3 linked regions of the Drosophila melanogaster genome follow. The protein of the gene in region 1 interacts with the protein of each later gene in a pairwise test. Each region holds a gene or a part of one and is shown on either strand. Other genes may lie near its edges. The genes, in order: Ubc4, sordd1 and CG32486.

Region 1 (10,725 bases):
TTTGATGTTCGGCATTCTGGAGTGGATTAAATTTAGACAACCAGCCTGTTTCTCCAAATTGTCTCGGATCAAACTTCTAGCGCGTATCGGATTAGCAGAGCGAACTGGCATCACACAATCTATGAGTAGAAGTTTTTATTATAAATTTTTTTCGCCAAAACGCGGGCAGCGACGTCGACGTCGTCGCCTTATCGGTGAGAAAGCAAGAGCGTAAAAGAGAGCAACGAAGCTTTTTGCTGCGCACTGCGCTCTCTTTCGCTCGCTCTTTCTGTAAAGCCACCCCAATTATCCCCCATTCCCATCCAGACCATGTGATTTTTCTACGCGTTCTCCAGGGAACTGGAAAGCTATCGATTTCGATTCCGGACTACTAAAGCGGTGCGATAGGTTTTTATAATTTTAAATATTTTCATTAATCAATTCGAATTTCCTAGTGTGTTTCTCAGTATAAATCTAAACAAGTTAATGGGATTGCACTATTACAATATTAGCCTTTCAAAAAGCAAGGATTTACCTATTTCATTGCAAATAATTTTATATTTATAATATTTTGGCTCGGTTTGCTATTAAATTTACATATGAACATGAAAAAGAATAAATATAAATTGCAAATTGACACTGATTATATTCGATAGATAAACAGCTTGTTGTCACACCCGTAAAATCTATGAGTTTTCTTTTAACATATAAAATATGCTGGCATGCCAACAGGCGCGCGCCAAAAAAAAAGCTTTTAAGGCTGAGGTAAACAGCTGTTCCACGGATGTCCCTCAGTTGGCCATGAAAACCTAGCACCACACACACACACGCGGACAGAAATGAAAGGAATGTGAATTCTAGGATATAATCTACGCACCATTCTGCTCGTTCTCCGTGCATTTCTTATCGGGCATTATTCACAAAACAAATCCCGAGATGAAGGTTCTGCGACAGGTAAGCGCCGACTATTTGATTGAACAACCCGTTTAATAACAAGACGCACTCAGCTGTTCTGCGCCAGGTAAGGTGAAAAGTGCACTGTTTCAGCGACAATGGGAGATTGGGATTAGCAGCCGCAGAGCGCCGCATCTGGCGAAATTGAGCGAGCGAATGGAACTGAGCGCCGTACAACATGGCGTATGCTTCTATTACACATACGCACCGGCTGCCCACACACACACACACCCATATTTTACGAGAGAGCGCAAGAGAGCGCCAAGGATGGGATGATGCGCAGTTAAGTTGATGCCACAAGGAAAAGCTTTCGGGACGCACTTTTCCTCTCTTTTTCGGAATCAGCTGTTTTCGATAGGTAATTTCCATAGAATTTTTAATACGTCATGTTGCAATTTTAGATATGTAAAACGTCACACAGAGCGAAAATTTCAATAATAAGTATTAATTTTTTTTATAAAATAATCACAGACCTCATTTCTAAAGTAAGACAAAATTGCGGCTTAGTTTCATTACATCTGCACAACTCAGTAATTTCTTAATAACACACAGATATGCAATAAAATTGTTTCATATATATTTCAATGGGTAATAAATTTCCAAGGCCCCATAAGACTGTCAATATATTTTCCTATTCATAATAACATAAAAAAACCCTAAATATCTGAGACAATAATAAACATTTAATGCTGCGTTTCCCACTTTTAAAACCTATATGCATGCGGCTCTTTTTGTGCACATACTTAGAAATTTATTTTTTGTCTGTGTATCTGTGCTGTATGCCGCTTTCAATTGGTTCTGGATAATTGTTGCTCTGCAAATATCTCTGCTATGTACTTTGTACATACCAGCAGAAATGTTTTGTTTTCTAGATCTCAAATCCGAGGTACAGTTCTTGCTTTTTCATTTCACGGGGGCTCGTCTTTGCTTTTGTTGCCCCCGAGATGTTTTCTTGTTGTTTGTGCAACTGTACCTGGGATGCTGAACAAACGAACGCGGCAGAAAAACACTGCGATTTGTTAAATTGTTATTTTCGTGCCCATGGCTAAATATAAATGAACTAATGCCAAATGCTGACGTACTCTTCTCCGTGTTTTATCCCTAAAAACTGACGCAAATGGCATTGCAAGTACAGGAATAATGGAGCCGTGGATAGCGGGTTGGTGGGGCAAAAACCACGTGCCGAATGCGACGCATGTTTTGAGTCGAGGCGAAAACAAAGGCACGCACACTTCAAAATCGAGTAGTACACCATACTGGACTTACTTGAAACATGTGAGGTAGCAAAGTGTCGCAATTACTTTTAAACTACAAACTATTAATCACTGAACGATGCGGTTTGTACAAGTTGGTCGAAAAAAACTTGTACTTTGTGATTTCACTTGGATGCAGCCGCTGCTCAGAAAATGCAAAAGCTGAATGAATCAGAACGCTTTTGAATTGAATTTAAGCGAGGGAAGTTGAGTTTCTGTTTATGGAGTTGTTTGGTGCGAGAGAGCAAGAGATAACGCAGAGGAGAGTTGATTTAATCAAGCTGAAGCATGGATACCCTTACGTTACAAGACAATAAATGTATCTTTTGGTTATCTGGTTATTTTATGGGGTAGGAAACGCATCCCTCTTCACACAGTCATAATACATATGCTTCGAAAGGGAATATCGGGGAGAGTAAAAGAGAACCGGCATATTTGTTTGTGTCGGTCACTCGTTTTGTTTTGTGGCGAAAGAGCGCCACAAAAGGGGAGCACAAACACGTGTGTCCAAAGAGTTGGAGAAGCAAGAAGCTCTTCCGTTTTAATTAGTCTCCGAATGTCTATTGGGTATATTTCTTATCCGAAAACTGTTGTTGCGTTGGCTCTCAAAACTTCCCCACACGCTTTTGCTGACACGTTTTTTTCTCGATCGCCATTGAGCTGTGCGAAACGTGAATTTGAGCAGTAAAAGAGAATGTCGACTTTAATGATTTTTCAGGTATGAAATATGCCCTCTAATTTTTTTGATCATATTTTTATTTTGTTAACATTCAACTTATTAATAAGAGTTTGCTGAAAATGTAATCCACTTAATTGTTTATCACTTAAAAATTTTTTAGGTAAAGTTCTCTCATATTGATTTAAAATTGCAATGTGAATAAAGTAACACTTCGTGTACCCCTTTTCCAAGTATAACCATTATAAACACAGGATCGTATGGCGCATAATTAATGGCTGTCTATTATTTTTGGACTGTTGCCAAGAGAGACCTACGCCTTAGAAGATTAAACTTCTTGTTTTTGTTTATGGGGCGCAAAACAAGTTTCAAATTTCCGACCGCAGACAAGGCGGGCGAGCGTAATGGAACCATATTACTGAGGTCAAAAGAACTTCGATTATATAATAAGGCCATGTATTCAGTATTCAAGATCAGAGACGCAATGGAAAATAACCTTTGACGTGTGCCAAGGAAAAGCTGCGGCTTTTTTATCCAATGGTACAAAAACCAACTTTGGAATTGATTCAGCCAATCATTGTAACGTAAATAGATTTTATCAACAAAGAGGTAAGAATGAGTACTTCGTGTATGGGGCTTAGCTGAATTTATTAGGAAAGTAGTTTGTAAATATGGTTATTTTTATGTAGATTTTGCTTTTGTTTCTTTTCATTTGTATTATCGAAACGAGTTAGGAAAATGTGTCGGTTAAGATTCCCAGATTCTGATATGTCGCCTTCAGGGAAACAAAGTCATCATGTCATCCAGTGGACATAATTGGAGGACCAATGTTAAGAAGAAGACTCCTCCTTAAAATGTTTAATAGGTTTTAATATGATTAAATAGTTATGAGTTGAGTGAAGTGGGTGTACCTGGGTAGTATTAAGGGCGTATCTAGGCAATATATGGCTCGCAGCAAGTAGCACCAATTCATTACGTCCCTATGTAATAGTTATTTATTCATATGCTAAACATTTGAACATTCGAACTTCGTTAGCAATTTTCGCGCTCTTTCCCCGAAGCCCTATCGATACGTCAATCGATAGGCGAGCTTTCAGAATTATCCGAATGCACCGCGGCGGTCACACTACGGAAAAACAAAAAAGAAATAGCGCTGGCAAAATAGACGTGCTGAGCGCTGTAAAAAGTCAGATTCGTGTTGAAATTGGAATAATAAGTTTTTTATTTTCCGTGCGCTGGTCGAGCTCGTTGCTTCGACAATTCGAAAAGCGATCGAAAGGAGCAACCTTGTAGGCCAACAGCCAGGCGTAATTTACGCAACGCACAACACTCACAAAATCCAAAATTGCACGGGGGGGCAACAATAAAAACAGAGGCAGAACAGAACACAGCAAGAAGAGCGTGGTGAAGAGGAGCGGCGGAGAAAGGAGAACGGTGAACAGGGAACAGGGAGAGAGCAGAAAGGAGAGTCCGAGAAACGGAGGAAACATCATGGCGAACATGGCAGTGTCGCGGATCAAGCGGGAGTTCAAGGAGGTGATGCGCAGCGAGGAGGTGAGTCCCGAGCTCCAAGGCCGAAGGACACTCAAACGGCACCTCGGCAATGCCAGCTGCACCACCGCCCCTGGTCGTGGTGCAGGGGGCGGGGGAGGGTGTCCGCGAACGTTGGTGGCGTTTTTGGCGCGCTTATGGGCTCCGTTTTCTTTGTGAAATGTAAACATTGGCCCCACTGATTTGTTAATTTGGCTTGTAATCCCTGAACAGATCGTCCAGTGTTCCATCAAAATCGAACTGGTCAATGACAGTTGGACGGAGCTGCGCGGCGAGATCGCCGGTCCGCCTGACACGCCCTACGAGGGCGGCAAGTTCGTCCTGGAGATCAAGGTGCCCGAGACATATCCCTTCAATCCACCAAAGGTACGTAATAGCCATGTCAGACTTTGTGCACCTATACAATATGCTAGCTTAGAAATAAACAACTCTTACATGAGTACACCTCATCTTTCAAAAATCGTATCTTATGACTTCACTTCGTAGAAAGTGACACTTCTATGAATCCACAATGTTAACTTGAATTCTGAAAGGCGCAATAAGAACCTGTAACTTGTAATTGAAACCTAAATAAATTGCAAACTTCTTCGCAGGTACGCTTCATAACGCGCATCTGGCATCCGAATATATCGTCGGTTACGGGTGCGATTTGCTTGGACATCTTAAAGGACAACTGGGCTGCAGCGATGACACTGCGCACCGTACTGCTGTCGCTGCAGGCGCTCCTGGCCGCCGCAGAGCCGGACGATCCACAGGACGCAGTGGTGGCCTATCAGTTTAAGGACAAGTACGATCTGTTCCTGCTTACGGCCAAGCACTGGACCAACGCGTATGCGGGCGGACCGCACACCTTTCCCGATTGTGATTCAAAGATCCAACGTCTCAGGGACATGGGCATCGACGAGCATGAGGCGCGCGCCGTGCTCTCCAAGGAGAATTGGAATTTGGAGAAGGCCACCGAGGGCCTGTTCAGTTAGCTTGTCCCAGCCGCACTAGCATCAGTACCATTCGCGGCGGTGGCAGCACCAAGAACACCGGCCAACTTCAGCATCAATCCTTCAGAACGGCAATCACGCTAAATTCTTGTACACTCACGCACCAATATATTTTCGTAAATCTTATCCACGAAATTACATTGCCCTGTAGTTATAATAATTCTCTGATCTGTTCTATAATTTTATTATGATTAATGTGCACATCTTTGCCGCTGGGTGGGTCACCAGAAGGTTGAGCCAAAGGCCATGCCCGCGCCCCATTGAGCATGTGGTGTTATGTAATTGAACCCAGGTTCTGTTTCATTAATTTACGTGCAGTCGCATTTACTTGCAGGCTCTTTCTTAAACAGTACTGTTGTTTTCCATTTCAAGCTTAAACTAAAACACAAACAAAAATGATTTACAAAACAAAATAAATGTGAAGGCGAGGAGTGTATAACAAATCGAAGTCTTTGTAAATTGCGTTAAGTTAATAAATAAATAAATAAAAATATTAATAAATGTCTAATGAGAAGTTATGATTTCGGTTTGTGAAGAAGAGGCTGCAAACTTAAAATAGATTTTTGTAAATCATGCCTAGACTGAAGAATGGAAAATGTAATTTACCCTAGATTGATTGAGATATGTAATGTATATTACTATAATTCTTGTTTAATCCATTTTTTAAGGCTCTGTCTAATGCCAAAATTGAAATAAAATCCAAATTCTTGGTGATTTACAAACCAAATAATTGCACAAAACGTGAAAGTAAAATAGAACCCATCGATATCATCCAGATATAATCATTTATATATATATTCTTCTACATATTCATTTAATTTTTCTACATTTCAATGTGAATATTTATGGTTTGCACTAAATATTTGACTAATAATCTGTCACTAAATATTTGGTCTACGATGCTTGCTGGCGAATCCAATAAGTTAATGACTTCACACATATAATACGAATTTCTACTTGTGCTTTTGCTTGGACATGACGGACACGGAGGAGCCACCAGTTGCAAGTGCGGATCCCAGGCAGCTGCTGTTGCTTTGAGCCACGGATGTGCCAGTGGCATTGGTTCCCTGGATCGTGTGATGGCTGTGACGTTGCTTGAGCATCTCCTTCCATTCGGACTCGAGTCGCACGTAGGAGCCACCAAGCGGTTGGGCATTCTGCACCAGACACTGATCCGTTCCGGTCTTTTTGGTCACATAATTGGCGACCTGTTTCATGATCTTCTCCTCGAAGTCGCGCTGATGATCCTGGTTGCTGCGCGCTGACAACTCGCCGGACCAAAAACGACCCGACACATCGGTGGGACTGGCCAAACAGTTCCAGGTAATTATTATTTCATATACATTCAATATTTCAAAATCCTTACCGCTTTCGTGATTTTTTGCCTCTAGTTTTCCTTGGTGGAGGACGATGCTCCGACTCGCAGCCATCGCTACTCGTACTGTAGTCCTCGTCGTCATCGTGAACGTTACGCATGCGTGGCCGCAGGCATCGAGCATCATCCTCGCTGGTGGACGTCGTCTCCGAATCGGTGCTGGTGTCCATTTGATAGCGAGATCCTCGCATCCGACGGCTCACACGATGGTTGGTCACTATGGAGCAGGGTTGAGTACGGAGCACATTACCTTCAAGCACACATACCCACCTCTCTTGAGCACACTGTCCATGCAGAGTTGGGGCAAAAGTCCCTGGCGACATCTTTGTGGCGTTAGGGAGATACCCTGCCAACTGGGACTGATCTCGCCGGCGGCGGCCAATTCCTGAATCCTCAATGGTGGCTGCTCGCACAAGGCGTAGTTCTCGCCCACCAACTGAGCAATGGCCAGGATGGCACGCTCCCTATCCGTCTCCACCAGGACACTGTGCTCGCGAAATTGGCAGCCCTAAAAAAGTAACGAATATTCAATGCAGTAGTATTAGTTTCTGGAAATATATATACATACATTTGGTCCCGGCAGCGTTTCGTAGCGGAATGCCTGCTGACCGCAGCAGGAGAAGCGGCCGGCGGGTCCAGCATTGCCCACGGGACCGAGGAAGTTGGGTGCCTCCGGATGGAAGCGACACCAGTGCATCTGATAGACCGGAAAATGAGCCTCGCACGAGCAGCAGTACAGGTAATGGCAGTGACCCCATAACTTCCAGTACACCTTGCGCCAAGACTTGAGCTCCTTGAAGAGCTGAACGATGTAGACATTAAGATCCCAGTTCGTGTCCCGCACGTGGTGGCTCATCAATTGGCCCCAGCGATTCAGTCGAATGTTGCTGGGCACACAGCTCACATAGGATTTCATAGTGTTGGTCACGCAATTGAAGCACCTGGAGCAACGGAACAGACCGGACATGCTGTAGAAGTGTCCCCTTAGCGCTTCCGGATCCGGTTCGCAGAGGGACTGAATCAATTTGGTCCACAGACGTGGTGTCACTCGCTCCTTTTTATCCCTGACCATTTCCAGCTCGAGATTCGTGAACATGGCCGCCAGTCGGCTGACCAATGCATCATTCAGACAGGACAGATTCGTGGATGTTCGTACAACTTCGCTGAGATGGGCATGACAAAAGGCCAAACACTCAAGGAGTAGAGGTTCCATCTGCAGAAAGCTGGCCGACACCAGAATGGGCACCACATTGTTGCCATCCAACTGGGGACCGGTGCTCTGAGTGGGAACCGGAAGATCCTGGCTTTGGGCACTGTGCTTGATCCACTTCATCAGCCAATCGAAGATAAGGATGTCGCAGTGCACCGATATGTCCATCTCCTCCAATCTCTGACCGGCAGTCACGTCCGCAAAGTAACCCATTTTGGTCACCAGCAAATGCTGCGGGCAGGTGAAGTCCTTCGAGGTGTTCTTCACCTCGTCGCAGACGTGGATCACCACTTCCGGCCTGTTAAACAATTTGAGTTACATATATATCCTGTAAATACATGGTACTTACTCCTTTCGCTCCTGCCTGGCATGTTTGCTATCCTTGACCAGCAGCAGAGATTTGCGTCTGCCGGCGTTCATTGCACCAGGCTTCGGAATCGGCTCCTTAATCATAGCCCGCACCATGCTGTTGGTGATCTGATCCGAATGTAGAGCATCTCCTCCGGGATGAGCCTGCTGCAGGCAAGGAGCCGAGGGAGTGGCTGCCGGCAGAGGCCCATGTGAGTGGCCTATCTCCATCATGGATTTCGATGCTCCCGAGGTGAGAGGAGCTGCCGCTGGAATGGGATTCGTATAGGGAGTGGTAGTGGCCGATGTCTGGGTGAGAAGCTCTTTCGGAGGCTGCAGCTGCTTGGGCTTAGTTTTGCCATTCTGGAGTTGTGTGGGCATTGGGACCGGGCATATAAAGGACAGAACAGAGTCCAGAACTCCCTCATTAATGGCCGCATCCAGTTGCTCGCCAAGCTTGGGATGCAATCCCCGATAGGTCGACTCTGGACGGGAAGAGCGGCCGTGGTGGCTGTGCCCCGAGCGCAATGTACTGGATTTCGCATCCTGTAGCAAACTAGAGCGACTCTCGTTGGAGCTCCTCGAGGGTCGTCGCAGTCCCAGGAGCTCGTTGACCAGTGGATTGTCCGCCAGTTCGGCAAAGTCGAACTCGTCCTTCTTGGTAGCTCTCTTGGTTGACACCGCACTGCCCTCCATCGGCGGTATCGGCTCCCTATTGTGTGGTTTTCCCATGTCGGCTTTCGTAATCATATCGTTCACATGACAGGATAGTTTTAGAAACTCTAGAAACTCGTTCAAAGTGATTTGAAACTCGGCGCCATTGCCGGAATCAATGGATTTCTGGGAGGGAGCCGCTGGTGTCTCCTCCGGCTGTCCAGCAGCCGAGGCTCCCTCGTCGGAGCCGGATTTCTGCATCCTGGCCAATGCAAAAATCAAAGGATATTGGCCATTATTGATTGATTGTTTCGTTGCTCGTAGTAACAAGGAAGTTACTAAAATGAAAAGCGGAAAAAACAATGCAACTGGTGACCCCAATTGATTTTTCAAGCTGTCCAGGAATTTAAGATTACCTGCACATTTAATAAATTGATTATTTTTCCTAAATATTACTTATTCGAGACATATTTCATTTTAAAGAAATGCAACATTATAAGTGGAATTTGGGATATAATAAAGAATAAAACAACAAACTATATATATTATAAAATCAATTTAAGGTCTTGTAACTTAAATTTTTTTTTACTTTTTAAAAAATTAACAAACTTGGTTATTTTTTGTTGTTTGAATTTTCTTCTACGACTACAAGCTTAACAATTTACCGTTAAACAAATATCAGTGTTGTACAGCCCAGATTGGCAAGTCGGGCGGGAAAGTAATAAGATATTTGTTTTTGTAATTAAAAAACACATATTTCTTTTTTAAGTTTTTTTTTAATTGTTCTTCTATATATTCGTTTAAACTACATTTTAGTAATTTTAAATTTAAGTCATATTAACATATTCAGCATTCTTTAAATTTAAATTAAAATTTACAAAACTGCGTATTTCGAAAAATTTTAAAAATATGACCGTTATTACTATCGGTATTTGGGGAAATTTCCGACTGCAGCCCCAATTTTCGATTACGCTCATACGATTACCGTCATTAAGCGCTGGCGATTGTTTAGAAAACTATATCGAAATATCGAAAGCAAACCAAAACATATACATACAAAAATTCATTGATTTTGTCAACGTAAAACACACAGTGTAGCAGGGCAGTTAATTCTGAATGCGGTTAAATAGCACGGTCAACTGAATTAGAAACGCTGGAGCGGCACAAGTGCGGCGGCAATGCGAACGGACTGAAGATAGAAGCCCCAAAGCGAAGGCTTTTACCTGGGCCGCTGTCCAATCAGAACGCTGCTCCCAATCAGAACTGGGCAGGGGGCGGGGGAGGCGAGAGCGAAAAATCCGGATACGGGGGGCAGTAGCAAAAGGCCAAAAAAGAAAAAAAAACGAGCGACGAGTGTGGACTAGCCAGCGATGATGGGAAAATGACCAGGGATCTGAGAGTACGGATCACGGACCACTAGCGGATACGGCCGTAAAATGCCCCGGAACACTTGCAGGCCAAGTGAATGCGCTGCTGCTAGCCAGGATGAGCCGGAGGCGAGTGCGAATAACAACAATAATCACAGCAACAACAACAACAATAACGAGGGCATCATCAAGCAGGAACTGGAGGCCGCTCCGCCGGTTTGCCACCGAAAATCGGAGCGCCGGAGAGTGGCCCGTGATATATTCCTGGTCTTCGAGGAGCAGACCACCCGGCGACGAGGGAAGGGAGCACGGGGCAAGGCCACAAGGGCAAAGCAAAAGTTCGGACACCTGAAGGTGGCCAAT
Region 2 (11,079 bases), on another chromosome or scaffold:
ATTTTCTTTAAGCTTTGGCGGAGCCGAATACTTTTCCTTAACGTGAGCACGGTACTCCTCGTCATCATCGTGGCACTCCTTATAGCATAGAGTGCAAAAGAGTTCCCCACCACATCCGTGGCATCGGAAGTCGGCGTCTTCGTTACAAATATTGCACCAGGGCAATTCTTCGGTGTTGCCGGGCGACTCAGTGTTAATTGGACTAATTTCACTCTCGGAAGGTTCTGGTAAGCGCGATTCTGCTACATACTGAATGGGAATACGAAAGTGATGATTTGGCTTAAAAAAAATAATGCTACTATATAAATGCGAACCTTTTTCAATATGTTCTGTAGAAGTGTCTCGTCATCCTCTTCGTTGTCCGCGATACTTTCCATCTGGGATCTCGATGGGCATGCATCGGAATCGACGGGTGTATCGCGCAGAGCTCGCAGACGTCTCTCAATGTCGGAAATTGAGTCATCCCTCTGCCTGCTGATATTTTGATCCAGTTGGGCTTCGTCAACGAATTGTGCGAGCAAGTCCCTCATTTTCTCCTGATCGTTTCTTTGGTCGGTGGACAGTAGCAGATCTTTCTTATCGTAGCTTTTCGTATGCGGCATCCCAGTGAGATTGGCCAGACGGGTGCGGATCTCATCATCGGTGGCATCAACTCGTTTATAGTCCTGCATTCGTTTGGTCAACTCACTGTCCAGGTTCTCATCAATATGATCCTTGTGATCTTTGGAATGTGGTGACGAACTGGAACTGGGAACCAATGCCTGTGGCAGCTCCTCCACAGGCAGGCTGTCGCTGCAATTAATCGAATTATAGTTTCAGAATCGGTGTTTTAATGTGGTATTTTACTTACTTGAATAGGGCATCGGCGCCATCTGAACTTTTGGATGGAGGAGCCAGGTTCATTTTGGTGACTAAGATCCCCGGCAAAGCATCACAGTCTATAACTTTCTCGGCATCGGCGCTCGCCTGGAGTTTGGATAGTTTGTCGTAGCATATGAGGCACACATTGTGCACCTTTCCTGCATGACGGGGCACGGGCATTGGTCTCTTCAAGCACTTGGAGCAGAATGAGTAGCCGCAGTTGGGGCATCCATACTAAAATTTCGGATTTAACACAATGTAAGTAGGTGATATATGTTGGTTTGCTTTGGTTTGATGGCACTTGCCTCCTTGCAGAATAGGCCATATTTGCGACCGCAGCCAAAGCAGCTCATTGCAACCAGAGTCACCAATGGAACATATAAATTGAAAAAGTTTCAAATTTCGTTTGCTTTGTTTTGAAAGAAGCCAGTTCTAATTAGGGATGGTGTACAGTGTACAGTGGGTGAGCTATCGATTACGACTTAAACGCATTAGCGTTCTAAAAATCAGCTGTTCCTTGTTTTGGTTTAGTCTAATATCAATATTATTAAATTCTTGAGCTTTGTTGTGACCAGATCGTTAGGAACTAGAGATAGTCGAGTGAGTCCTGGTATCGATTGTCCATGGCACACAACAGCTGTTAATGAATAGTATTTAGTCTTGTAAATGTATTTAGTAGTTTATTTTGTTTACAAATCAATCGAGGACTGATCACTGATCACTTTTCAAATGATTCATTGAGATCCGAGATTTTTCACCTAACTCGATAGTTATCTAACGCGAGCGTGGACTTTGGTCCGGTGGAGACGGGCTGTTATACAGGCAGCTATTTACCGATAGGGTAAAGGTCTATCGGCCTCGGTCAGGTATCGTCAGTGCAATTGTTTTGAGGTGCTAAGACGTCAATTGATTGACTTGTCCACACAATCAATTTAGCAACATTCTCTGATTCGGTTTAACAATACTTAGCACGGCAAGTAGAAGCAAACAGTGAGCGAAAACAAACAATAAAATGAGGGCAAACAAGTCAGGTTTTGCAAACAATACACTTACAATGTAAGTAATTTTGAGAAGTTATACTATTTGCTGTGCCACAGGAAGTTATATATAGTTTAATTAAGTTATAATGCGTTTAAACGCAATCCCTGGAACTCGATGTATATGAGCATATAATTCCCCTTGACTCCAATAGGAAGTGCTCCATGAAAACATTATGTGACATCTATACGTACTGTATAAATAAGCATATAATCGGTTCCAATGTACATATGTAACAGGTAGATGGAAACCTTCTAGCCCTATATACACGCGAGTGTTTGAGTGTGTAGATGTGTACATAAGTACGCACATAAGTCCAGGTACATATGCAGGTATACCGTCTTGTTTGCCAACGCAATTCAAACAAAATTTGACTTTTTTGTTTAATTTATGTGGGTGCAGCCAATGGGAATGTTCGGTGCATTATCCTTGAAGACTTGGTGGTAAATACGCCCTTTGGGCGGTTTTCGTAGCCATAAACACCACCCCATGGGGTCGGACAAATGCTGAATGCTGCGGAACTCGGGGGAAACCCCCTTCAAACTGCGCTTGAAGTATTTAATTAAATTAAGTCATATTCAAGAAAGTGCGGACCTTAGTTGTACACCAGAAATGGCCTAGGAAAATCATCTAAGCAATCTAGGCACTTGTCAATAGGGTGAACACAGACTTACTTAGCAAATTTGGGTTTCTAAATCATCCAACGTTACGTTGCAGCTTGAACGACTAAAACTTTACCCGCATCTTGGGCAAACCATGGAGGAACCGAAAAGTGTATCCACAGCGGAGCTTCCCAGCACATCAACCGGGGCATCGTCGTCCTCATCGACTTTGTCCAACAACGTGAGCTACGACAAGATAGCCTGGACTCGGGATATCACAGAACCCTTGGCTGAGGAGTCATCTACAAGTCAATTGCGCCCGCTGGGTACCTCGATTCCAACCAATTCGACGGCATCGGAACTGAAGAAGTCCAACACTTCGTATTCCTTTACTGGAGACTATCTATCTGGTGGCAATAAGGCCGATCTGAAGGGTGGCTATCCATTCGGCGGCACCGATACGGACACAAAAGCCAACGAAAAGGACAAGGAGAAGGAACATACCGCAGACGACTCACTCTACGAGTGCAACATATGCCTGGACACCGCCAAGGATGCTGTGGTCAGCATGTGCGGCCATCTGTTCTGCTGGCCGTGCCTGCATCAGTGGCTCCTGACGCGTCCCAATCGCAAACTCTGTCCCGTTTGTAAGGCTGCCGTTGATAAGGATAAGGTCATACCGCTGTACGGAAGAAATAGTACACACCAGGAAGATCCACGGTAGGTTTGAACCGCTTTCAACATGAGTATTTTTCAATAACCCAACTTATATGTGTTTTGCAGTAACAAAGTTCCACCACGCCCCGCTGGACAACGTACAGAACCAGATCCTGTTCCCGGGTTCCCTGGATTCGGATTCGGCGACGGATTTCACATGTCTTTCGGTATTGGAGCTTTTCCTTTCGGGTTCATAACATCTAGGCTCAACTTTTTCGAACCACGTCCACCTGGTAGGTTACATGCCATCTCAATAGTTCTGAGATTGACATTAAATAACATTTGCCCATGTATTTAGCTGATATTAGAAGGCTACACGAAGATGAACCCTGGGCCCTGTCAAAACTGTTCTGGCATTTTGTCGTTTTTGTGATATATGGGCTGCTCGTTCCAATAGTGCACGGATCATCCCGATAAGAAGAACCTATATTCAAATGTCAATGGAAAGCGTGCGAAGTAATCAAATAGCAGTATCCTCCAGTTAAATCAACAATATTGTTAAACTCGTTGGGCTATAGTCGTTGGTGTGATTAATTAACATAAATTGTTAGCATTCGGTTATAATTGTAATTTGAGGATTCGCAAAACAGAAGTGGATTGGGTCCCAAATTATTTCAAAAAGTCTGCAATACCCTACGACTTCAGCATAAAAAACTGAAATTTCGAAATAATTGGATCGTAATGATTTAATTCAAATGTAGATTTCAAAAATTGTATAAATTTATATTTTAAATTCTATAAAACATTAAAAACATTTATTTTAATTTATTTTCCGTGTAGATTATTATCGATGGGTGAAAAAAATCATTAAGTTTTTGCTTAACTTAAACTGCACAACATTCTTTTTAGGGATCAGGGATAACGTGAATTTCGAAGATGCTGAGGATATGGATGCATGTATGTACATGAAGATATCGGCTTATCTTGAGTATGAGATGTATGATATATGTACCTTCTACCGATCGCTCTAGAAGATCGCCTCCTTTAAGTGGGCCAGTTTGTTGGCAATGGAGGGGGACGCCTCATCACTGGCTCCATAATTGGCTGTGGTGATGCGCTCCACCTCCTGGGAATTGCCGATAAAGGATTCTGCTCCGTGCCAAGAAGCTCACTGCAACCAGAGTCACCAATGGAACATATAAATTGAAAAAGTTTTAAATTTCGTTTGCTTTGTTTTGAAAGAAGCCAGTTCTAATTAGGGATGGTCACGTGATTTCTGCACAGTGGGTGAGCTATCGATTACGACTTAAACGTTTATAGATGCATTAGCGTTGTACAAATCAGCTGTTCCTTGTTTTGGTTTAGTCTAATATCAATAAAATTATTGAATTCTTGACCTTTGTTGTGACCAGATCGTTAGGAACTAGAGATAGTCGAGTGAGTCCTGCTATCGATTGTCCATGGCACACAACAGCTGCTTATGAATAGTATTTAGTCTTGTAAATGTATTTAGTAGTTTATTTTGTTTACAAATCAATCGAGGACTGATCACTGATCACTTTTCAAAGGATTCATTGAGATCCGAGATTTTTCACCTAACTCGATAGTTATCGAACGCGAGCGTGGACTTTGGTCCGGTGGAGACGGGCTGTTATACAGGCAGCTATTTACCGATAGGGTAAAGGTCTATCGGCCTCGGTCAGGTATCGTCAGTGCAGTTGTTTTGAGGTGCTAAGACGTCAATTGATAAATTCCCAATTTTACCGTAACATAACACACTTGTCCACACAATCAATTTAGCAACATTCTCTGATTCGGTTTAACAATACTTAGCACGGCAAGTAGAAGCAAACTGTGAGCGAAAACAAACAATAAAATGAGGGCAAACAAGTCAGGTTTTGCAAACAATACACTTACAATGTATGTAATTTCGAGAAGTTATACTATTTGCTGTGCCCCAGGAAGTTATATATAGTTTAATTAAGTTATAATGCGTTTAAACGCAATCCCTGGAACTCGATGTATATGAGCATATAATTCCCCTTGACTCCAATAGGAAGTGCTCCATGAAAACATCATGTGACATCTTTGACATCTATACGTACTGTATAAATAAGCATATAATCGGTTCCAATGTACATATGTAACAGGTAGATGGAAACCTTCTAGCCCTATATACACGCGAGTGTTTGAGTGTGTAGATGTGTACATAAGTACGCACATAAGTCCAGGTACATATGCAGGTATACCGTCTTGTTTGCCAACGCAATTCAAACAAAATTTGACTTTTTTGTTTAATTTATGTGGGTGCAGCCAATGGGAATGTTCGGTGCATTATCCTTGAAGACTTGGTGGTAAATACGCCCTTTGGGCGGTTTTCGTAGCCATAAACACCACCCCATGGGGTCGGACAAATGCTGAATGCTGCGGAACTCGGGGGAAACCCCCTTCAAACTGCGCTTGAAGTATTTAATTAAATTAAGTCATATTCAAGAAAGTGCGGACCTTAGTTGTACACCAGAAATGGCCTAGGAAAATCATCTAAGCAATCTAGGCACTTGTCAATAGGGTGAACACAGACTTACTTAGCAAATTTGGGTTTCTAAATCATCCAACGTTACGTTGCAGCTTGAACGACTAAAACTTTACCCGCATCTTGGGCAAACCATGGAGGAACCGAAAAGTGTACCCACAGCGGAGCTTCCCAGCACATCAACCGGGGCATCGTCGTCCTCATCGACTTTGTCCAACAACGTGAGCTACGACAAGATAGCCTGGACTCGGGATATCACAGAACCCTTGGCTGAGGAGTCATCTACAAGTCAATTGCGCCCGCTGGGTACCTCGATTCCAACCAATTCGACGGCATCGGAACTGAAGAAGTCCAACACTTCGTATTCCTTTACTGGAGACTATCTATCTGGTGGCAATAAGGCCGATCTGAAGGGTGGCTATCCATTCGGCGGCACCGATACGGACACAAAAGCCAACGAAAAGGACAAGGAGAAGGAACATACCGCAGACGACTCACTCTACGAGTGCAACATATGCCTGGACACCGCCAAGGATGCTGTGGTCAGCATGTGCGGCCATCTGTTCTGCTGGCCGTGCCTGCATCAGTGGCTCCTGACGCGTCCCAATCGCAAACTCTGTCCCGTTTGTAAGGCTGCCGTTGATAAGGATAAGGTCATACCGCTGTACGGAAGAAATAGTACACACCAGGAAGATCCACGGTAGGTTTGAACCGCTTTCAACATGAGTATTTTTCAATAACCCAACTTATATGTGTTTTGCAGTAACAAAGTTCCACCACGCCCCGCTGGACAACGTACAGAACCAGATCCTGTTCCCGGGTTCCCTGGATTCGGATTCGGCGACGGATTTCACATGTCTTTCGGTATTGGAGCTTTTCCTTTCGGGTTCATAACATCTACGCTCAACTTTGGCGAACCACGTCCACCTGGTAGGTTACATGCCATCTCAATAGTTCTGAGATTGATATTAAATAACATTTGCCCATGTATTTAGCTGCTAATCGGGGAACAAGGCAATACGAGGATGAACAGACCCTGTCCAAGCTGTTTTCGTATTTGGCCGTTGTGTGGATATTGTGGCTGTTCTATGCATAGCAATCTGCGAACGCATAAAGACATCACCCCGATAAGAAGAACCTATGTTCAAATGTGTATGGAAAGCGTGCGAAGTAATCATATAGCAGTATCCTCCAGTTAAATCAACAATATTCTTAAACTCGTTGGGCAATAGTCGTTGGTGTGATTAATTAACATAAATTGTTAGCATTCGGTTATAATTGTAATTTGAGGATTCGCAAAACAGAAGTGGATTGGATCCCAAACTATTTCAAAAAGTCCGCGATACCCTACGACTCCAGCATAAAAAACTGAAATTTCGAAATCATTGGATCGTAATGATTTAATTCAAATGTAGATGTCAAAAATTGTATAAATATATATTTTAAATTCGATAAAACATTAAAAACATTTATTTCAATTCATTTTCCGTGTAGATTATTATCGATGGGTGATTGGGAGCGATTGAATCAATAGGAATAAAATAAATTATGGGTATAATAGAGGGGCTTTTAAAAAATCATTAAGTTTATTGCTTAACTTAAACTGCACAACATTCTTTTTAACTTGAAATGGCCATTGCCTTAAGAGCAAAAAAATAAAACACAAAATAAAACTGATGGCTACTTAAAATATTTTAGCTAAGCTAGGCGTTCGCCGAAACGGATTCCACGAACTGGATGAAACGCTGCCAGCGGGTCGCGAACTAGAGGATGTTTTCAGGTGGAGCTTGGGCTTGGCCGCAATACTTGTGGGACTGGGAAATCCGGATGAAATGCCCGATGAACTGGCCGCCGATAGCGTTGATAATGAGCCCTTCGACGACAATGGCTGTGCGTAAACAAGGTGAATTTGTTTGCTGATTTTTTACGTATGATTAATAAACAAAATGCACCTTCAAGTAGTTGCGATCCATGGGCGTTATCACTCTCAGCTCGAGTGTAGAGCCGCAGGATTGTATGAGCTGCACCACCTGCTGATGGGAGTACCACTTCACGTCCACGCCGGCTATCTCGACTATGAAGTCTCCCTCCTTGATGCCGCCAAGCTGAAAATAATGCCTACAGTATACGACGAATCGATGGAAGTAGCATTTACTTACGTCTGCCAAAGAATTAATCTCAACGTGGGCAATGATCACCGGAGCATCGCCGCGCACATGGAAGCCAAAGTTCTCAAACTCCTCCTTGTACAGATTGTATCCACCATCGTGCTCCTCGTCATCATCGTTATCCAATGGGCACTTGTTGTCATTGCTGGGCACGCTGTGATACAGGGAGGAACCTTTCTGGAGACGCACACATCTGGGCGCTGTCCAGTGGCGTCTCGCCGAGAATATTGCAATCGGGCCGAGGCGCTTGAAGGGATCCTTAACCTTGTGCGATGTGAAGTCGGGTCCGGTCAGGGATAACGTGAACTTCGAAGATGCTGAGGATATGGATGCATGTATGTACATGAAGACATCGGCTTATCTTGAGTATGATATATGTACCTTCTACCGATCGCTCTAGAAGATCGCCATCTTCGATATTTTTGGCTGAAGCTTGCAGTCTGAACTTCTCGAGCTCCTCCTGCGATTTGGAGTGCACCTCCTTCATGACTTCAGTCAGTGATGCCTTGTTCTTAAAGATTAAAGTTAAAGGTTAGGTTATTAGGCTATAGGATATAAGAAGTATATTTACCTTCAAGAACCGACACATCCGCTGCAATCGCTGGGCTTCCTCGATACTGGCCAGCGCCTCCTTTAAGTGGGCCAGTTTGTTGGCAATGGAGGTGGACGCCTCATCGCTGGCTCCATAATCGGCTGTGGTGATGCGCTCCACCTCCTGGGAATTGCCGATGAAGGATTCTTGGTTCTTTTGACTTGACTTTGATGCCTTCAGCTCGTCTGTCGCATCTATGCTCCGTGCCTTGTAGAAATGTGCGAATGCTGTTGGCGTTTACAATCATACTTTAGAATGAATATTCCCATTTCGAGGTGATAACCAATTCTACCTTTGTAGAGTTCCGCCTTGACTGGCACTAGACCGGCCCAGCATTCCGGAAGATAGGTGTGCGTATCGTTCGCCTGGATATTCTTGTGCATCTCATTGTACTCGTGCGATATTTGAGCAGCCTCGCCAGCCAGATCCCGAAACGCCTGGCAATCGTGCTGTATGGTTATATAGATGGTAAAATTATGTAACTACATACTATATACTATATACTATATACTATATATGCTGACGGAAACTCACGCTCATCGCCTCGATCTGCAGCTGAAGCTTCTCAAAGAGGCATTCTCGTGCCTGGGAAAGCATCAGGGAAACGAGCACGTCCAGGACCTGTGGCTTCAGGTCCATCGATGGTGCATTCGTGAACGTATCGTAGATGTGACGAAAGACCCCGGCGGCCCGTAAAAAACTATCCACGGCCAAGTCAAGACCCCGTTCCGTCGTGCGATCGTGTCGAGCGCCGATCTGTGTATATATGCCGCCCAGATTGAACAGGGTGCAGGCTTTCTCGAACGCGATGGTCCGCTGGCACGAGGGAACTCCCGTGAGCGAGTCGTACCACTCGAAGTACACGCCCAGGTTACGATCCGGCGGAAAGAAGCGACGCTCCACGTAATACAGCGTGTTGTAGTAGCGGAAAAGTAGGGCCACTCCCAGGGCATCTCGTGACGGTGTTTTGGATGCCTATTAGAAATTTTTCGCATTGGATTATATGTGCATAAAATTCTTATATATGTACGAGGCATTACCTGTCTCGTGTCCGTCATATCAGCTATGGCATCTATGTACATCGAGGGCTCCTCGCTGTAGTGTTCCAGGATGAAGTCGGAGAAGGGTTCCATGAAATTGATCTCCTTGGTTTCCTTCAGGCCCAGCGGTATCATGGGCATAATTCCATTGTGACTAGAGAGTATTAGAGGATTATTATTATAATACCATCAAAGGAATGCCTTGTAACTGCCTGCTTCCTTGAAAGTTAGACCTTGTGGTGGGTCTTCCCACCCAGTTTCTTATCCTAGGAGCGGGCTTATTAGCTCACCTTTCGCTCTGATAGATTTCCACCGACGAATTCAACTCGGCCAGTTGCTCCTTCAGCAGTTGCAGATTTGAGTTGACAAAGCTTAATTCCAAGGCAACTGTGTCGCGCAGTTTGCGATTCGATGTGGCCTAAATATATATATATATATATATATATATATATATATATACATAAAGATATGCATTTAGTTTTGGCATGGACATACATATGTATGTTCAGAGTGATAACGGAAGGTAAGGTAACGCACCTTATATAGATTCTCGGCACCAGCTCGAAGGCGGAGTTCCTTATTTATTTCTTTGTTTAATTTGCATCGCCTGTTTTGGAGTTTGCTACGACAAGTGGCAGCTCGTGGATCTGAACCCTGGAAACAGGATGCTATATGATTATATCGATTGTATCTAAATATATATATATATATATAAATATATATATATATAGATACGAATTTAAATCTATATTGTGGAGATATTTGGCGGATTCCTGAACGTCATTAGCCATGATAGCGATCCCTTAAAGTTATGACTCAGTGTTCAAAATCAAATATTCCATAACAAAGCTTTTGGGTGATACAATCATTTATGGCGTTTTAGGTGATAACAATTGCAATGGAAAATAATAATACTTTTACAATATACATGAATAATACCACTTGACATTTTTCGAATCGCTAAGTGCGCAAAAACATAAATAAATAAGATTGCTATTCTACACTTACCCGAACAAAACAAAAGGATAACTCATTGAGCTTCTCGTCATCCTCGTTCTCCTCGTTTTTCACCACCCTCGTCGACAATTCGTGTTCCTTTTCATCCATGGTTCAAAGATCCGAAATCCGAAATGATTATGATCCAAAAGGACTGCCAATAAACACTGGATTACTTTTCAATTTGTGGGTAAATGATGAAATAATAACAATACAACCTCCCCCCCCCCCCACCGAACTATTCACCACACCGCATATAGAGAGTTCTATAATAGACTTCCGACCTTCAAGACAAGACCAAGATCATGAAAATCCATGCAGCACTTGTTGTCGCGTTATGAATGGTGTAACTAACTATTATAACACGAGCTGCTCGTTTTTCGTATGTATGCACAACATGAGTAGCTAAAGATAGAACCGCATTTCTTCTTCTTTTTTAGCTTTAGGAGGTCAAACTCATCAATCGCCTTAACGGTTTTCGATTCGAGCGAGCCATTTAAGCAGCGCCAAACATCAACATATTATAACCGTCATGGCACTGCTCCAGGGCAAACTCAACTTGAGATATCGTGAATAAACACATTGGATTGCA
Region 3 (10,966 bases), 6.6 Mb from region 1:
ACCAATTTACTTAGACTGCTTGGTTGTTGTTATACCCTTTCTTGTAATTCGGAGATTTTAACTTGGCTAAGATGGCTTAAAGCCATCTAGCTTAATCCTTCGATCCCAAATTGGTATTGCTACCGCTTTTTATTATTCGTGCAAATTATTTTTATTGAGAAATGTGAAACAGAATCTACTTGGTAAAGAATGATTGTGAAAAACACCCTGAATGTCCTAGGACATCCTGTACAATATCCTTTCGACGATCAAATATTTATGGTATAATGGGATAATATGTTAATGTTACACTGTACAAAGTCACCCTAAAGAGAGTATCCCAAGCTTCAGTGCCCGTTGGAAAGCAGCCTTTGTGCTGGTCTCATTGTTTTGGCTCTGGTTTTGGCAAAGGGCAGGGAAGCGAGGAAGTGGTTTTTCCTGCCGTACCTGTATGAGTTTCCCTGTCTCGGCCTCTCTATGACCATCTCTTTCGCAGGACAAAGAAAATGCATGAGGAGAATGCAGAGTGTGTGGAACTTGTTCCTGATCCCAGAGGGGTTGCAAGGAGCAGTAAATGGGAATCTGAGCGTTTCCAGGAATAACAAAACGATAATCGATGGTATTGCAGCGAGGAATGTACGTAATTAAAGGGAAGTGTATAGATTGTTTTGGGGCAGATTGATTATGCCAAGATTCTCTGTTCTAGGCCGCTACTCCATCCCGTCCCTATCCCTCTCTCTCTCACTCTCGCATTCTCTGCCTACTTATCTCCTTCGCCTCCTTTGTTCCTCGGTCACGTCCATGTAATTGCCAATAATCACAATATGCGCTTCGGTAGGAAAATTCAATTTACATGCCGCCAGTGGAGAGAAAAAACAAGAGAGGCGCAGAATTGAATTACAGGATGACCCCGGTGAGAACGCTTATGAAATATGCCAAAGGTGACTTTCAATTAAATGCCACCCAGCCAGAGGCGTGCGAAGGATTTAAAAAGGGGCAGATAAAATAACGTACTAACCGATCAATATAAGAAAGCTGATCTATGATTAATCACTGAGTTAAGCTCATAAACATACCAATTTTATTATTACAATCATAGAATAACTATGTATATGAACAACTTGTTTGATGGGGGGGTCATTTCACCCCGCCAACCCCTCTCCAATACGCTCCTGCCACCAGCTGTGGTTCTGCTCTTACGTTCCCTGTCTTTGCTTGTGTTTGATTTCCTTTGCTTTTCTGGCTTTGTTTTTGCTTACCTGCCGGGAAGAAATTGTTCAAGAACGTTGACATTTTTCTCTTTCGCTCCCGCCTTCGCCAATTCCTCGTGCGCTCTCTTTCTTTTCGTGGTCCTTCTCGTTTCGTTACGCTTTGTTTTTGCGTTTGTTTTCGTTTTAATGTGCACTGAGTTAAAAACTTTTTCTTGGTTTTTTCGTTTTGTTTTCGATTTTTTTGTAGTTCTTTTTAATAATTTTGTAGAAAATATTGAAACAAAAATTTAAATAATACATACAATCCGCGCTTAACTGCTAAGTTTCAAATAACACATTTTCACATTGTACGTTTCGAAAATATTTTTTTCTTTCACTTTTTCACGTAAGTTTCTTGCAGTTGAAATGCATTTTCGGGCAAATGATTAACAATTGAGGCGCGTCGACTGTAAAAAGCGAGAAAGAGAAGAACATTGAATTAAAATAAGTAACGGTAAGCGAAAAACAGTTGTTTGTTTTTGCAAAACGGGGCGACAAAATGAAATCCCGAAACGCAACAGTGAGTGGGAGTGAGAGGGCGGTATAGCTTGGATTTCATTAAATTTTCCAAAGTGAGTCTGTGTGGGTGTACGAGGACGCTTTTTCCTACACATATACAGACACAATTGCGCGCATATTTGCTTACGTTTTCCACACTTTTTTTCATTTCGCACTTGGTTACTCATATTTTTAGAGTTTTATATTTAACACCATCCAAAATACATACACACTGAACCTAAGCCAACATATTGTGTAGTTAATTGCCTGTTTCATTGTTAGCTTTTGAATTGCTTTCAGTACCGTAATTACTTTAATGAGGATATTTCCTTGAAAGGAGCTGCTGTTGCTATATTGTATACATTTTCATTACCATTTTCCAACGATTTTGCAAATAAGAAAAACGCAACACACACACCGCGCGATTGGCGCTGCACGAATGAAGAAAACGCAAAGAAGATCCAACAGCCAAGCCAAATGGAGTCCACAAACGACCCCCGAGTGTTGTATACATGTACGTCCGTCTGTGTGTGTGTGTGCACAGGAGGTCGGATAAAAACAACAACTGCCAGCTGTGTGTGCAACAAAGTGGATGTGGATTCCATTCGAGGAGTGTTGGGAAAACATCCGCGCTCAAGGGGTTACATGGACTTTAGCTATTGTTAATAATTTTAATTAACATATATATCATTTTATGCAAAGAAATTTAACAGATTGTATAAAGTCCCTCATGTTTTTCAGCTGATAAATGCTGGATATGAAATACGTATTCTTTCAAAGAGAAATCCTTTGACACGCTACTGAAGTTCCATTATTGAATATAATGTAATAAAATAACTTTTAAAAATGGCGAAACCCCTTTATGGTATTGTAACACTTCACCTTCAAGTGGCCAGGACGTTTTGCAGAAACCCTAGCAATTGGCGTTGTTATACACACATGCATATATACACAAAATAAATACATATACATATGTAAGTTTTTGGCTGGGGGGAGTTCAACAGGACCCAACAGCTGGCCACAGGTTGCGTTCCACATAGAGAAATGTGGGAGCCTGGGCTCCAAACGCGATCCACACTCCAGCCATATTTGTGGAACGCGACAAACAGCTGGCTAGGAAAAGGGGAAGAGGACGCAAAGGGGAAGGGAACGAAAAGAAGGGGAAGAGAAAAAGCAGGAGCAAAGGAAATAAGAACACATATGTATACGATTTGTTTTTTGAGTGGGAACAGCTGGAAATAATTAACTAAGTTCACTAAGCAAGCCAAAAGCCAATTTATAAGTGTAGTTTTGTTACAACGTTTTTGGAAATATTTTTATTTTAATTTTCAAAAATTTTCATAATAATTGCACGTGAATTAAAAGTCAATTCATTAAGTTTTTATTTTCATTAAAGTTTTTAATTCACCACCGAAAATGAAATTGAAGCCATCTTGGTCACCAAATTTTTAAGACGCAATTTGTCCAAATGGTTCTTATAACGCAAGCCAGATAGCAAATACGTATAGTTTTTTGTTCAACACGCCAACGATTTGTTTTTGTTATTTTTCAAATTGATGCCGCTGTTGCACACACACACACAAACACAAAAAATGCCAAACACACAGCGCACAGCGAAGTGATACAAAAATGTCTGCTGAGAAAACTGCGATTTTTCGCTCTTTAATCCACGTTTTCCGTACCTCCACTGACCAGTCATAGTTCACTTTGCGAGAGGTGACTTCATAAAGAACCTGCCGTTTGTGTTTTGTCAAACTTTTGTACATTTTAAAGACAAAATCACAATATTTAATTTCTTACATGTTTTCCGTTTGCCGCAAGCAGTGTGACCGCATCTCGCGAGTGACGAGTTCCGTACTGCCGGATATAAGGGCAGCACATTAAACACGAATGGATTCGTTTTCAATAATATACTTGTAAAATTATATATATGAAGGCAGATTTTGCTATATTATTTTAATGCTATTTTATTTTGAAATGGTTAATTTAATAATATTTGTTATTTTATTACTTTGTAAAGGGGATGGTGTCCCTGCTAACGATCAACCAGGGCTGGAGAAACACAGACAATAGAAAAACATCGATAGGCTTTGCCAATAACATCGATACGTTATACTAGTATTTTGCCTAATATAAGATTTGGTCACACCGCACAACACTCTCTAGAAAGACAACAAATTTTTTGGCGAGCGGACGTGTCGGCGGACAAAAAGCTTGCAAACAGAACAGAACGGAAGAACACAGAAGAGAACGACACGACACGGACAGCGGGGAAAGGTGGCAATTGAAAGAAAGTGCCATACTTAGTGTGCGAGCGAAAGAGAGAGAGAGCAAACTGGGTATTGCTTGTGTGTGTGTAGTAGTTTAGTGGTCGTGTGTGTGGGAGTTTGTGTACGAAGCGAGTGGCAAAGAAAAACACAACAAACATTATTCCAAGAAAATTTCCAATCATGTCGGTGGAATCCTCCAGTTCGGCGGTCCAACAGCCGCCGTCGTCCTCGAACCTACCGCTCCTGGGCGACAACCAGGCGGTGGCCACGACCAGCTCCGCCTCCTCGGCCTCTTCCTCTTCCACATCGTCGTCCTCCTCGTCGGTGGGCGGCGGCAATGTGGTGGGCGTGCCGCTGGACACGCAGGGCAGCGGAGAACCGCCGGCCAAGAAACAGTTGTTGGACGGAGGGGGCGGTGGTGCCACCAGCAGCAGCGGCAGCAGCTTGCTTTCCAGTGCCGCAGCCGCCTCGGGAATGCACGAAAAGCTGGCCCACCGCATCTCCAATGCCCTGTGCTGTGCCGTCTGCCTGGATTTGCCCAAGACGGCCATGTACCAGGTGAGTTTTTGGATTATTTACAGCGGCTTGAACTATAAGCCCTTGTAAACTAGAATCAAAAAAAGGAAGTAAGAGCTTTAAAAGCGAAAGAAGAAAAACAGCAAGTGCGCGTGTGTGTGTGCGCCTCATTCTGTATACAAACAAATCGTGGCAGCTCAGCTGTAAGAGTAAAACACCTCTCTCCCTCTCTCCACCCTAGCAAGACACAGCTGTGCGAGAGCGAGACGTCTAGCTGGGGCGCTCTTGCATTATTCGCCTTGAAAACATTGAAAGAGTGCGAGGGGGAGCGAGGGCGGGAGTTAAGTCCGTGATCGAGGGTGGAGCCTTTTGTGAAGATATGATGTGTAAATGTATGAAGGTTTTTAAGTTTCAGCAGATAGTTGTAGTGTGAAGATTTCCAATAAAGAATACGACTGACTTTCTTGAAGTTCAAAATCAGTATGAAGTTTATTGTCAGAGAGTGGCTACTCGAGTCCTCCGTTTTCGTCTTATACATAAGTACATAGGTTCTTAATTGTAAGCATAATGAACATGCCGACTCGGCATGTGGCTGGCTAGCTGGGGACAATGTTGCAGTGCGACTTTTGTGTAATGTCAGCATTCGGCCGGAATGTCAGCATTCGGCCGGATGCGGTGTTCCAGTTGCCGTCTTCCCGGTTGAGTGTCCGATGATTTGTTTAGAGGCGTGGGGGTTTAGGGGGTGGGGTGGTAACTCCTCCCCCCCCAGTTCGAAGTGACGGCCATAGCGAAGGTATGGATGACGCGTAGATTGGTACGTGATGATCCTCGTGGATGTGGACGATGTGTTTCGTTCGTCGGTGCAGCCATAAGATGACTGCTAGGAACGTTACCAATCCGAGCAGAGTGTAGAGTGTCCAGGTGTGCTGTATAGTATTGTGATGGACGGCCAGGATTTTATCCATTGTTTGGGTGGCTTCGAGGTGCAGTTTTTCTAGGCTTAGTACCGTAATAGTGGTATTCCTAGTTACTTTTCGCATGGGGGGAAGATCAAAATCCGTCTGTTCAGGGAACGTGTCAACCGTGCCGTCGTAATCGATACCGTTAATCTGTATTGTTTCGTTAATGTATCTGATGATGGCTGACCCCATTATTGAGAGCTCGGAGCCGTTTGTTAGGGATACCTTCAGTTTGTTCACGTTGAATGCGAAGATGTAACCTCTCTCTGCCTCGAACACGTCGGTGATGGGGCCGGTTTCCCGTACATCGCAGGAACTGTTTTCTCCGTTCAAAAGGTGTTCCAGGCATGTGTTGTTCTGTGGTGTATCAACGTAGAAGTTCTCGTCGCACAAGAATGTATTATCCAGTTTGGGGCATTTACGGGTCATATGAAATTTCTTATTATTAATATTATAAGCTAGGTAATTTGGGGTTATTACAAAATATGTGTTATTTATTGGTAATGGAACTAGTCTGGCGAGGGTATGAAAAGGTTGTTTAAAAATTGGGACTTTGATATTAAAAATAATCTTTTGTTCGTAATTTAGTGTATTCATTTGTAGGAAATTGTATATACTTTGTTCATTTTTGACTGTGATATTTTGTTTTTCCAGTATTGTTTTTATTTTATCCATTTCTTGTTCATTTAGGATGAACTTGGGAATTATATTTATTTTCGCCAATAGCATACTTTCTGTTATGTCGTTTAGGTGGTTAATGAATAATTCTATGTTATAATTAATCCTATTTAAATATTGTATTTCTTCCAGAAGGGTATCTTGTAAGTTTAAGTGTTTGTATATTTTGTTTTGTGAGGTATCAAAGAATTTACTTATCAAAATTTGTTCATTATTTATATGGTCCGTGATATTTTCGAACCGGATAAGTATTTCGTTGTTAAACATTACTTGTTTTTGGAGATTGTCGTTACTGACTTCGGAATTTTTCTTTATATTGTCAAGTTCTTCATGTATTTCTTTATTGTCGTTGGCATCCATGTTGCCGGTAACCACCTTTACTAGACTCCCCAATCCGTTAATCAAACCCCGTTTGTTTCTATATGAAGGTGTAAGGGCTTTGAGCTTTACTTGGGCTTGGGTTAATTTGGTTTTTAAAATTGTGACGGAGTCCGTCAACGTGGAATCGGGGTTAAATTTATTAATGGTCAGATGGAATTGTTCCATACATCTGCTGTAGTCTTGTAGGTTGATTACATGACTAATTATTTTGTACCTCTCAATTAGTAAGGCTTTCCCTAGTTCTATCTTGGCTATAGGGGCGTTATCATTTAAATAATGGACATGGATAGCCTGAGTTGGCACAAGGGTGAACCTGAAATGGTAAGTTAAGAGGTAGTGGGGTCAGTTATTATCAGTGTTGGGTACGTTGTTGCTTTTGTCTTTTTTCAAAACTGTTTTTCGAATTTTTGATTTGTGTAGTTTTTGATTCCTAGCAGTTATCAATGTATGACCTTTGTCGTGTTTGACTTTGTGAATCGAAAACCTGGGTGTAATCTTATTACGTCTGTTTTCCTTCCTAAGGACTAAAGTGTCTGGTTGTAGGTCTACGGGGTCTGTTCGGGTTTCATTTAATTTTAGGGTTCTCCTAACTACGTCATTTGAAAGTTTGTCCGTGATGAGGGGGTACAACTTCTCGCGAAATTCATTTAATTTCGTTAAGTAGTCGTGTTCGTTATTGAACTGGATTGTTTGGTTGAATATATGAGTACGTCCGTTAAATAGTTCAAAGGGGGTATGTTTAGTTGCAGAATGAATAGCGTTATTATATGTGATTAGGGTTTCGGACATTATCTCGTCATGCTCGCTACTGAGTTTCTGTTGTTTCCTGACGTCAAGTATTATTCTGTAAATCTCAGTTAGTGTCGAGTGAAGCCGTTCAACGGGAGAGTTACTAGAGGATTGTTGAAAGGACGTAACGTGTAGGTCAATGTTAAATTGAGTGCAGAACTTATTGAACATATCGCTAGCGAATTCTGCTCCCTGATCATAGATCAGCTTTTTGGGAATACCAAATTGGGAAATGAAATGTTTTAAGGCTTTAACTACGTTAATGCAATTCCTATTAGTTATAGGGTAGGCAGCCGCAAATTTAGAAAATTTATCGATAATAGTAAGGTTATAATTTTTGTTAATAGTATAAATGTCTATATGTAAGATGTCCAACGGTTTTGAAGGTAGTTCGGATATTTGGTAAGTGATCTTTTGAGGTTGTCTGTCGTATTTTAATTTTAAACATGTTTCACATTTTCGAATTAACTGAGTTATTCTCTCCTTCATATGTGGGAAGAACTGTTGTCGTTTTATGTGTAAATATGTTTCATCGATCCCTCGATGGTTACTATTATAGTGATAGTCGGTTATAATTTTTTCGATCTCCGTACTATCAGTAATTTCGGGGAGGAAGATCAAACATCTAATGAGTTTAAATTGACTGTGGGCTGAGAAGTAGGTTTGGTAGGCTTGTTCCACCATTTGAAAAATGTGGTCGGGGGCAAATACCGCGCATGTCTTGTTTGGTTTTAACGACTGCCTAAGAATGCAAACTACGTCGTCATACTGAAAATTGGGTTTACAGAATTCCCTCCTAAGTTTGTGTTTAAACGGGGTCAGTGTGGCGTTATTTGTATCTGGGGTTATTTTGAACAGGAGCTGAATATTAAAATCATTAAGGGGTTTCTCTGAGATGGGGCAAACATTTTGAGGAATTGATAGGGCTTCGTTATGGTTGACAGAGGCCTCTGGTCTACTGAGAGCATCAGCAATTACATTTTGAGAGCCTTTCTTGTAGACGACTTCGAAATCGTACTCCTGAAGCTGGAGTCTCCACCTAACTATTTTAGAATTTGGTTGTTTGAAATTCATTAACCAAGTTAGTGGTTTGTGATCGGTGATTATAGTGAATCTCCTGCCAAAGAGGTAGGGTCTGAAGTATTGGACCGCCCATATAATGGCCAGCATTTCCTTCTCAATTGTGGAATAATTTGTTTCCGCAGCCGACAAGGTTCTACTAGCAAAACATACGGGCCTATCACTATGCACCGGACCTTGGGATAGGACAGCTCCTATTGCGAAATTACTTGCGTCCGTGGTTAGTGTGAAAGGTTTTGTAAAGTCCGGGTATTGGAGGATTGGGTCGTTAGACAGTAAGGTTTTGCAATATTCAAAGGCCTTTTTGAATTCATCATCTATTATGATCGATTTATTGTTTCCCCTTAATTTTTGTGTCATGGGTTGGGTAAGTCTCGCAAAATCTCTGATAAATTTTCTGTAATATCCCAACAAGCCTAGGAAAGACTTAATTGACTTTTTACTGTGGGGACATGGAAAGTTTTTTATAGCTTCGATCTTATTGGGATTTGGCCTAACACCTTCTTGTGAAACGATGTGGCCAAGGAATTCTGTCTCCCGCCTGAGGAAGTAGGATTTTGTGAGTTGGACTTTAAAGTTGGCAGATCTGAGTCTTCCAAAAATAGTTTTCAAGTGTATGAAGTGTTCTTGTAAGGAGGTTGAGAAAATTATTATATCATCTAGGTAAACTAGGCAGATAGTTCCGATAAGGTCTCCAAAAATATTGTCCATCACCCTTTGGAATGTGGCTGGGGCATTTTTGAGGCCAAACGGCATTCTAATGAACTCGTAGTGGCCCCCCTCTACTGTAAATGCAGTTTTGGGTGTGTCGTCGGGATTCATTTCTATCTGATGGAATCCACTTGCCAGATCAAGTGTGGAGAAATATTTGGCTTTGCCCAATCTGTCTAAGATATCCGCGATGTTAGGTATTGGATATCTATCGGATATAGTCTTCTCGTTGAGTTTTCTATAATCGATAACTAGACGCCATTTTTGCTCTCCCGTAGGAGTGATTTTCTTTGGGACGACCCAGACGGGGGCGCTCCACGGGGAATAACTGGATTTGATAATGTCCTGATTTAACATTGCCTCTATTTGTTTTTTGACCTCCTCTTTATGAATGTAAGGATATCTATAAGATTTTGTATGAATGGGGGTGTCGTCCGTGGTTTTAATCGTGTGTGTAATCTTGTTGGTGAAGGTCAATGATTTGTCTTCATTGTAGAAGATATCTAGATAACTTTTGCAAAGTGAAAGTAGGCTTTGTTTCTCTTCAGAGGAGAGGTGATCGACGCCAAGGGCTTGTAACGACGCTGCGGAGTTTTGGGGCTGTGGGGTGTCTGAAGTGATACTGAAAAGTTCAACATTGTTGGCCGTGGAGTATGGCATGCCTTTTATCGGGCTCTCGAGGTACAATAACTGATCCCTCTCGCTATAGTTTGTGATAACGAAATTAGCAATATTGTTTTGGGCATTATAAATCCCGTCTGATATTATTAAGTCATCATTGATTGTAATTGAATCGATGTAGAAGTCGCCCTGTTTGGTTTCCACTGGTAGTGGCAAAATAGTTTTCGTATGTCCAGAGATATTAAATACGTTTGAAGTTGAGTTACTGTGGGTCCATAAGGGTATAATGGTACTTGGGGTTTTTAGATTTAGGTTAAGTAAATCTATTTCTGTTTTTAGGTAAGATAATAAGTCCATTCCTATCAATCCGTCAAAATAAGAGTGGAACTTGAAAGGTAGAAGGGTCATTTTGCCCGTGATTTGGAATTCCGGTGGAAATGGTATAGAGACGTTTTGATATATTTTAAAACTGTTCAGGGCTGTTTTGAGTGTTATGGGCGTATCTAAGGTCACACAGTTCCTAGGGTCGACATATTTTGGGTCGATGAAGGAGTGTGTAGAGCCTGTGTCAATTAAAAACTTCAGGGGGTTTGTCTGGGATAGTTTGATTTTTATAAAAGGAAGCGAGGGGTTGTGCGTGGCTGGGCTTATGTACCCTGTTGGTTTCCCGAGGCCGTTTGCTGAAAATTCGAATCAGGTTGAGGGTTCTCCTCTATATTATTCAAACTATGTGAAGGTGCTCGAAAGGGGTTTGATGTATTGGCCCGGTTGTCCTTGGTGCCGGATTGGGGTGTGCGATTGTGTGAATTAAATGGTCTATTTTGGCCAGAGTTAGAGTTAGAGTTAGAGTTAGAGTAGGGTCCCCTACGGTCATTTCGGTCGTTACGTCCGCTGCGGTAATTGCTGTCGTAGCTATTTCGGTAGGTTTTATTGTCTGATCCATTGGGTCCCTGCTCTGGTCTGTTGGTTCGCTTGTTTTGTGCCCTATATAAGGTCTGCTCTATTTGGCATTGCTCGTACGCCTGTTCAAGTGTAGAAGGGGACTTTATCCTGACGAAAGTCTTGAGAGGTTCCTTCAAACCAGTCATAAAAGCATTGAGACAAACCTCGTTGTAGACAACCTTTTTTGCATCTACAACAGTGTTGTTGTGTTCGCTGTTTTTGAGTATGGAGAAGAGTTGGCTTCTCACCTTTGATATACCAAAGAACAGTTGGCCCAAGGTCAGGTTGTCCG

Evidence for each region.
Region 2: the proteins of Ubc4 (region 1) and sordd1 interact in a two-hybrid assay, tested with the Drosophila melanogaster proteins (2 studies listed by BioGRID).
Region 3: the proteins of Ubc4 (region 1) and CG32486 interact in a two-hybrid assay, tested with the Drosophila melanogaster proteins (2 studies listed by BioGRID).

Annotation. Positions count from the first base shown.
Region 1 is NT_037436.4:9,694,340-9,705,064, forward strand, and holds Ubc4 (ubiquitin conjugating enzyme 4), read left to right. Parts: upstream 1-3,996; 5' UTR 3,997-4,353; coding exon 4,354-4,416; intron 4,417-4,626; coding exon 4,627-4,779; intron 4,780-5,006; coding exon 5,007-5,390; 3' UTR 5,391-6,142; downstream 6,143-10,725. Other genes in the region: Prps (phosphoribosyl pyrophosphate synthetase), read right to left, coding at 1-119, 857-893; CG6761 (uncharacterized protein), read right to left, coding at 6,362-6,713, 6,775-7,000, 7,054-7,291, 7,352-8,291, 8,343-9,256; CG16711 (uncharacterized protein), read left to right, coding at 10,432-10,725. UniProt on the Drosophila melanogaster protein: Catalyzes the covalent attachment of ubiquitin to other proteins.
Region 2 is NC_004354.4:15,789,809-15,800,887, reverse strand, and holds sordd1 (suppression of retinal degeneration disease 1 upon overexpression 1), read left to right. Parts: upstream 1-4,859; 5' UTR 4,860-4,886; exon of another isoform or gene 4,887-5,078; intron 5,079-5,312; exon of another isoform or gene 5,313-5,401; intron 5,402-5,471; exon of another isoform or gene 5,472-5,727; intron 5,728-5,786; 5' UTR 5,787-5,825; coding exon 5,826-6,391; intron 6,392-6,454; coding exon 6,455-6,621; intron 6,622-6,686; coding exon 6,687-6,787; 3' UTR 6,788-7,167; downstream 7,168-11,079. Other genes in the region: CG15602 (uncharacterized protein), read right to left, coding at 1-249, 315-792, 851-1,095, 1,167-1,214; sordd2 (suppression of retinal degeneration disease 1 upon overexpression 2), read left to right, coding at 2,656-3,221, 3,285-3,451, 3,517-3,635; Rhp (rhophilin), read right to left, coding at 7,376-7,579, 7,644-7,796, 7,851-8,176, 8,241-8,370, 8,431-8,678, 8,744-8,900, 8,986-9,426, 9,492-9,645 and 3 more.
Region 3 is NT_037436.4:3,063,751-3,074,716, reverse strand, and holds the start of CG32486 (uncharacterized protein), read left to right. Parts: upstream 1-3,877; 5' UTR 3,878-4,177; coding exon 4,178-4,555; intron 4,556-10,966.